2 linked regions of the Canis lupus familiaris genome follow. The protein of the gene in region 1 purifies or fractionates together with the protein of each later gene. This does not show direct contact. Links are inferred from orthologs where the notes say so. Each region holds a gene or a part of one and is shown on either strand. Other genes may lie near its edges. The genes, in order: NKAPD1 and CSNK2A2.

Region 1 (3,819 bases):
GCCACATATTTTATGACTAAACATTTTATTAGACATCTGTTCTGTAAAGAGAACAACTTTAGTAGTTAGAACTATAAAGTATTACCACCTCATGGAATGTTGTTATATTCTATTGCTGGTGTCTTACGCTGTCCTGCTGCCATGAAGCATTTCTGTATTCTACATGGGGAAAGTAAGGCCAGGGAGGTTAACTTACCTGTTCCAGATGTTGTAACTACCTAATTAGTGGTAGAACCAAAACTAAAGGTCTTGCATTTTCAAGCTTTCTACGCAGCCCATGAAGTGACAACCAGGAAAAACAATGGTGGGTCACTTGATATCCTGTCATAACGAACAAATTCACTTGTGTTCTGCCAGCCTTTTCTCCGTGACATTTTGGTTTCTTAGGATTTAACAGTAGGGATCACAGTATATAGCAAAGGGAAATACTATGGTCTCTGCTTGGTGCTTTAATCAGAAGGCAGACTGGGAAGAAGTAGGTGCGTCCCTGAGAAGCCTGTTTCATTTTGGAACTGATTCGACCTAGTTTCAGGGAAAATCTCAAGGTCATTAATAGATTTAGAAATGAACAAATATTTAAATTGGCAATTGCTACCCTGAATCCTGTTCAGAGCACCATGAGCATGACTAATTCCTAATTTTATCCCATTTGGTTGAGGACTTCCCCAAGATAACTAAAGAAATAATTTTGAACACAAGTCCATTTAGGCGATATACAGCAATGGAAGTAGAAAACCATTTACTATACCAATTACTATGTTTAGGGATATAGTGAGTGTAGCTATGGACCCTGTCCAGCAGGGAAACTTGACAGAAACCCTAGACTCCTAACAGCCGTCTATGGATGTTATCATGAAGGAAAAATGTTTTGCTCTTATACTCATCTTCTCATTAAATAAACTGGACCACATCTATGAGGCCAAAATACAGAAAGATCAAAGCACCAAGGCTGAAGACAAAAAAGGTCAAGTTGTGGCACCTATATAAACAGCAACACGATGTTCCCTTACAACATTCTACACAGCACCAGTTCCAATCCACCTCTTGATCCCAGCCCTTGCTTTCCCCAGATTCAACATCCCAATTAGTGTACCCAGGTTGTTATTGGATTCAGCCTTCTGGGTCCTTTAATTTGCTGTATATGCACTCTACCCTAAATGTGATTAATTGCAAAAAATAATCTCTTCGAGAAAACTTCATAACAAAATACCAGATTCCCTATTAACAGTAAGAGGATCAAGTTTAACAGGCCAAAATAGAAGACAAGAAGTCTGTCAGAACGAATGTAGATGGCACAGGACAGCTCTGACCTCAGGGCCCCTGTGCTGGGAATAGTCACTAGCAGAACCCCAAGGTGGAAGAGCTGTAAGTAACCAGTCAGATGGGAAATGGAGAATGTCTCCTCATCTAATCCTCCTCTGAACTCTCTGCAGACCTTTCATCTGTAGCCACTTTCCAATTTGTGCGTTTATTTGTCCTCTCTTGTATTTCATTGTTAACTAGAGGGATGTGAACATTTTTCTCGCTCTTTTTCCTTTTGGTTTTCTTAGTCTCTCTTTCCTCACCTTCCTCAGAACTGCTGGATGCAGAATCATCCGACTGGGAAGTGTCACTTTCTGCATCCAAGAATAAAGCAGATTTTTTGAGAGACTTTTTCCTGGATTTTTTCTTGCGCTTATGTGGTTGTTTCCTTTTCCTGGTACTAGAAGTCCCGGTTTCTTCCGAGAACTCACTTGAGGAATCTGCTGTTATATCTGTGGCTTCTTTTTTGCTTTTCTTCTGTTTTTTGTGTGACTTTTTTTTCTGCTTTTTTTTGTGGGATTTCTTGGACTTCTTGTGTTTGTGAGACTCGTGGGTAGATGATTTTACTTGAGGAGATGTTTTTTTTCCATTGGTAATATCTTGCTGATCACTACTAACAAAAAAGAGAAACTGCTTTACTATAGAAAATAAAAAGCGTATTTATATTTTAGTATTGAGCATTCTGGATAGAAAGTTGGGGCTGGGGCACCTGAGTGGCTCAATCAGTTAAGTGTCTGACTTCAGCTCAGGTCATGATCTCAGAGGTCCTGGGATTGAGACCCACATCAGGCTCCCCGCTTAGCGGGGAGAGTCTGCTTCTCCCTCTGCCCCTCCCATTGCTCATGCTCTCTCTCTAATAAAATCTTAAAAAAAAAAAAAAAAAAAAAAGTAAGTAGGGGTTAACATCTGAATTTTTAACTAAGAGCTTTAACAAAGGATTACTATGAGACTTTATCACTCTGAGTTTTATTTCCTTATTTTGTTTTCTTAAAATTAAGGTAAAAATTCTAATCTGCCAAACTGAGTTACTGTATTGAATACTATGTATAAAAACCTAAATGTTGGGCAGCCCCGGTGACGCAGCGGTTTAGCGCCGCCTGCAGCCCAGGGCGTGATCCTGGAGACCCTGGATTGAGTCCCACGTCAGGCTCTCTTCATGGAGCCTGCTTCTCCCTCTGCCTGTGTGTCTCTGCTACTCTCTCTCTCTCCTCTCTCTCTCTCTCTATGAATAAATAAATAAAATCTTAAAAAAAAAAAAAAAAACCTAAATATTGGAATCCCTGGGTGGCTCAGCAGTTTAGCACCTGGCTTTGGCCTAGAGCATATTCCTGGAGTCCCGGAATCGAGTCCCACATCATGCTCCCTGCATGGAGCCTGCTTCTCCCTCTGCCTGTGTCTCTGCATCTCTCTCTGTGTGTCTCTTATGAATAAATAAATAAAATCTTATTAAAAAAAAAAACAAAACTAAATGCTGGGGTACCTGGGTGGCTCAGTGGTTGAGCATCTGCCTTTGGCTCAGGTCATGATCCCGGAGTCACGGAATCAAGTCCCACATCGGGCTCCCTGCAGGGAGCCTGCTTCTCCCTCTGCCTCTGTCTCTGCCTCTCTCATGAATTAAAAAAAAAAACAACAAAAAAAAAAACAGGGATGCCTGGGTGGCTCAGTGGTTGGGTGTCTGCCTTCAGGCTCAGGACGTGATCCTGCAGTCCCGGGATCGAGTTCCACGTTGAGCTCCCTGCAAGGAGCCTGCTTCTCCCTCTCCCTGTGTCTCTGCCTCTCTCTGTGTCTCTCATAAATAAATAAAATCTTAAAAAAAAAAAAAAAAAACCTAAATGATATATATATATGCAGAACATCAATCAGGAGAAGGCAATATACCAATTATCTCCCCACAAAATTGCCTGTTATTTTTCTGGGTTACATTTTTAATGGCAAACGTCATCTCCTTTGTAAAATTAGGAACCCAATTTTACGATACTATACGTCAGTACAGACTTAGTATTAATCTTACAGCTTCTAGCTTTTTTTTTCAATAAGCCTATTTATCTTACCTGTCTGTTTCAAATTCTTCAGGGTATAACTCTTTATAACCACTGTGACCCCATCTGTAAGATGACATATTTCATTACATGTATTAGAGCAATGCATACATTTTTGAAAATTAAAAAAAAAGAGACTCAGGAGTACATGCAGACACAGACATGCACAGAGAACAAAGGAAATAGAGATAATGATAGAGCCAATCCCATCTTCAAGCTCAGTAACTTAGTTGGCTACATTTTTTGTACTGCGTTATTATTTCAGACACAAAGGATTCTTTTGTCCATTTGTAAGAGAACTTGCCATTCTCAGGAAACACTAAGGAACTCTTCTATCCTGCTCTTTAGCTGTAAAGTGCTTCTCCAAAAACAACTTGTAACAATACTGTCTACAATGGGACAATTTTTTTTTTTTTACACAGCAATCCTATTGAGATGTAATTCCCAGGCCAGGAAATTCGCAATCCTATTGAGATGT
Region 2 (3,819 bases), on another chromosome or scaffold:
GTGTCTCCTATCTTCCCTCCTTAACGCAGCCCCTTTTCCGCCGGCTGCCAGCATAGTGTGCACAGAGCACTAGGGGTACCATCTGAGGCATGGTTATTGTCCTCTGTCGCAGCAGTAAGCTGCCCCTTGGGAGATTGTATTCACGTGAAGCTGTCACAAATAATATGCTTGCGTTGGGAGGTTGGTAGACAGTGTGCTTACTTTTCTCTGTGCTTTCTTATCTAATAGGCTCTGGATTACTGCCACAGCAAGGGAATCATGCACAGGGATGTGAAACCTCACAATGTCATGATAGATCACCAACAGAAAAAGGTACCGTTGCAGCCAGGCAGCAACAAGGCTTTTCTTAAAAGGTCTAGGGCAGACCACAACTCTAGGTATTGACCTAGGAGGGACTGCAGACCAGTACTGTTTTCTTTGGCAGACTTGTGTTATTGTTATTTCTCCGGTCTCCAGTGTTGCTTTCTGCTCTGCATGAGCATGGTACACAAGGAAAGTAGACCCGTGAGCCTAACTGTAGTCCCTTGTTTATTTTGGTCATGGTTTTCCAGAGGGCCTCGCAAAGAAACTCCAGCAGATGGTTTGTACTTCTTTTAATGACCCTTAGACCAGTCTGCCTAGCCTTTACACTTGGGTCCCTCCTGTTTTTCATATCCAATTCTGGTTGTCTCTGATTGGTGAGTAAGTGATTCCACTACTGTGTGATTAATGAAAAGCTGGAGCAATGCTTCAATCCTGGGGTGGGGCCTGGGTCTCCAACCCTTTGTGTTGTGGCTTGAGCTTATGATGGGAGCTGTTAATAATGGGGGAATGTGTTATATGCAAGTAAAACAGAGGCAGAGTAAAAAGCTTAAGCTTGATTGATGGGAAGAGAATGATAAGCCAGGATAATTTAAATTAAAAAAAAAAAACAACAACAAATAAGATTCTGAAAGCTCTACTGTAGAGGTGACCTCTTCCACAGTTGCTGAAAGGGTAATTTTTGCCAGTGCACTGGCTAACATTTGTTATGTAGCGCACATATTGTCAGCTAACGTGATGTGGCCTTTTTCTAAGGCACAGGTGTCTAGAAACACTCCTTTACGGGTTTGATTTCTGTTGTGTTTGTAGCTGCGGCTCATAGACTGGGGTCTGGCAGAGTTCTACCACCCTGCTCAGGAGTACAATGTCCGTGTAGCATCGAGGTACTTCAAGGGACCGGAGCTCCTTGTGGACTATCAGGTACAACTCACGCCTCCTTTGTGTGTTTCCTTAGGGCTTCTCCTCGTGTGCTGTTTATTAAGTCAGTTTGGATACATTCAAAACCCCAGCCTGAAGCAGTCATTTCAGATTTTTCTCAGTGACTTTTTTTTTTTTCTTTGAATTCTAAAATATGTGCAAAGGTCAACTGAAGACTAGAAATCCAGATCAAAGAAATACATTTGCAACACCTTTCACTAACAGGCTGACCTTGTTTCCCCAGATGTACGATTACAGCTTGGACATGTGGAGTTTGGGCTGTATGTTAGCAAGCATGATCTTTCGAAAGGAGCCCTTCTTTCACGGACAGGACAACTATGACCAGGTGAGCAAACACTAACTGGCTCTTCCCCATGTGGGGGCACATGCCAAAGAAATGGGAGTCTGTTGACAGGGATGCTATCCTTGAGTCACTCAGTGTCTGCACTTAAGTTCTCCTTCAGGGTAAAGAGCTTCATGAGATTTTGTCTGTGGTTACTAGGTCCCCAAACATAGAGCCAGATAAAGCTATCTTACTAAGCTCCACGTATGCCCCACAGTGAGTCTGTGAAGAAGTCAGACACACCTTGTCTAACAACTAGCTTCTAGATTAGATTGTGATGCCCCCGTAATTGTCAGCTTCTGGAAGATTATTGTCTTAAGTTATTACCATTTTATTTTTGTTTTGTTTTTAATTTTTTTTTTTTTTATTTATTTATGATGGTCACACAGAGAGAGAGAGAGAGGCAGAGACATAGGCAGAGGGAGAAGCAGGCTCCATGCACTGGGAGCCTGATGTGGGATTCGATCCCCGGTCTCCAGGATCGCGCCCTGGGCCAAAGGCAGGCGCCAAACCGCTGCGCCACCCAGGGATCCCAGTTATTACCATTTTAAAGGGAGTTTGGAAATTTGCTTTCTGTGAACATCATTGGCCTTTGGTCTACCTCCTGTCAGCCCCGGGCTCCAATCTGCCTCTGGTCCCTGGAGATTCAGTGATGGAGAAGTCCTCTCATTTCTTGGGATAGCATCCTCACAGGCTTGCGGTGAGCTCTGTGCTCAGTAATTTGGTCAGTTTGTTTTGTGTTTCAGCTTGTTCGCATTGCCAAGGTTCTGGGTACAGATGAGCTGTATGGGTATCTGAAGAAGTATCACATAGACCTAGATCCGCACTTCAACGATATCCTGGGACAGTAAGTAAGAGAGAGGGAGAGAGAACGAGGGTTTTAACTAAACCCATTTCAGAAGAGGGAATATTCGCCGAAATCACTTGCTAATCATAGCAAAGTTGAAAATACCCTTCTTTTTTCTCATGTATGCTTTTTAAAACTTGTTTTGAGGTTTGGGCATTGTTTACATGTGTCTTCTGATCGTTGTACTTCTCCAAGAGATAACCTGTCAGTCCATAGAAAATAGGAGACAAAATCCTGTTACAGTGAAATGCTTTGCAGGACAGTGTATGCTTATTTTAATGGAAAATCTTAGAAAGCTGTGATTCTTCTTTGAGGAAGAGATTTATAGTTTTTTCTTGTTCTAGTTAACGGGTTTTCTACAAGGTGGCAAATTTTATTTTTTTTTAAGATCTTATTTATTTATTCATGATAGACATAGAGAGAGAGAGAGAGGCAGAGACACAGGCAGAGGGAGAAAAGCAGGCAGGCTCCATGCCAGGAGCCTGACGTGGGACTCGATCCCGGGACTCCAGGATCGCGCCCTGGGCCAAAGGCAGGCACCAAACCGCTGAGCCACCCAGGGATCCCCCCAACGTGGCAAATTTTAAAGCATATTTGCAGGTACAGTGTACTAGTGTTGAAAAGTAAATGCGTTGACAGTTCTCAGTGTTTTGTGGAGCCTCTGTTTCCAAGGCTAGCTCTCTAAATATTTTTGCTGCACAACAAAAATAACTCTGTCACCTCTGTGCCTCACCAGAATTGACTAAAAGCCTGATCCATAAGAAATGATCTAGGAAGGTGCCACAAATTCTAAATCAGATGTAGAAGCTTTAGTTCATTTTATCAGAGAGCATGTTTTTTGTTTCAAGATGCCTCAGATATTCCCGTGGAGGGTGGGGCAGACACCTGTGAGAATGAGATTTAATAAGTTTATAATCCTCCTGGGGTTCTAAGATTCTATTGGCTTTAACCATGGTAATGTCTGGATTCTTGTTGAATTGAATCTCAGTACCAGTGCTTCCCTTTCCTCCTCAGACATTCACGGAAACGCTGGGAAAACTTTATCCACAGTGAGAACAGACACCTCGTCAGCCCTGAGGCCCTAGATCTTCTGGACAAACTTCTGCGATACGACCATCAACAGAGACTGACCGCCAAAGAGGCCATGGAGCATCCCTACTTCTGTGAGTCTCCAGGGACCATTTGCAGGGGCCTGATTTATTAAAGGAATAAGTCTCCTGTTCTTTATCTTTGAGGCCAGTCAGGAGAATTCTAGGTGTTTGGATTGAATCATCCTTGGAATTTGGCCTCATTCATTCTGGACTATTGAGACAGCTCTTGCAGTTCCTTTTCTTGATCTGCAGAGGTGTTTGCTTGTCCACTGCCATAGCTCCCCTTGAGTCTGGTCTGCAGACCGTTCCCTGTGGCCCTG

What was found.
Region 2: the proteins of NKAPD1 (region 1) and CSNK2A2 purify together in Homo sapiens (affinity purification with mass spectrometry; 5 studies listed by BioGRID and IntAct, counting the BioPlex papers as one, with this or other methods). This does not show direct contact. The link is inferred for Canis lupus familiaris from reciprocal best matches to the Homo sapiens genes NKAPD1 and CSNK2A2.

The regions. Positions count from the first base shown.
Region 1 is NC_049226.1:21,077,099-21,080,917, forward strand, and holds part of NKAPD1 (uncharacterized protein NKAPD1), read right to left. Parts: intron 3,408-3,819; coding exon 3,354-3,407; intron 1,916-3,353; coding exon 1,408-1,915; 3' UTR 1-1,407.
Region 2 is NC_049223.1:57,697,582-57,701,400, forward strand, and holds part of CSNK2A2 (casein kinase II subunit alpha'), read left to right. Parts: intron 1-228; coding exon 229-312; intron 313-1,110; coding exon 1,111-1,221; intron 1,222-1,462; coding exon 1,463-1,564; intron 1,565-2,307; coding exon 2,308-2,408; intron 2,409-3,422; coding exon 3,423-3,571; intron 3,572-3,819.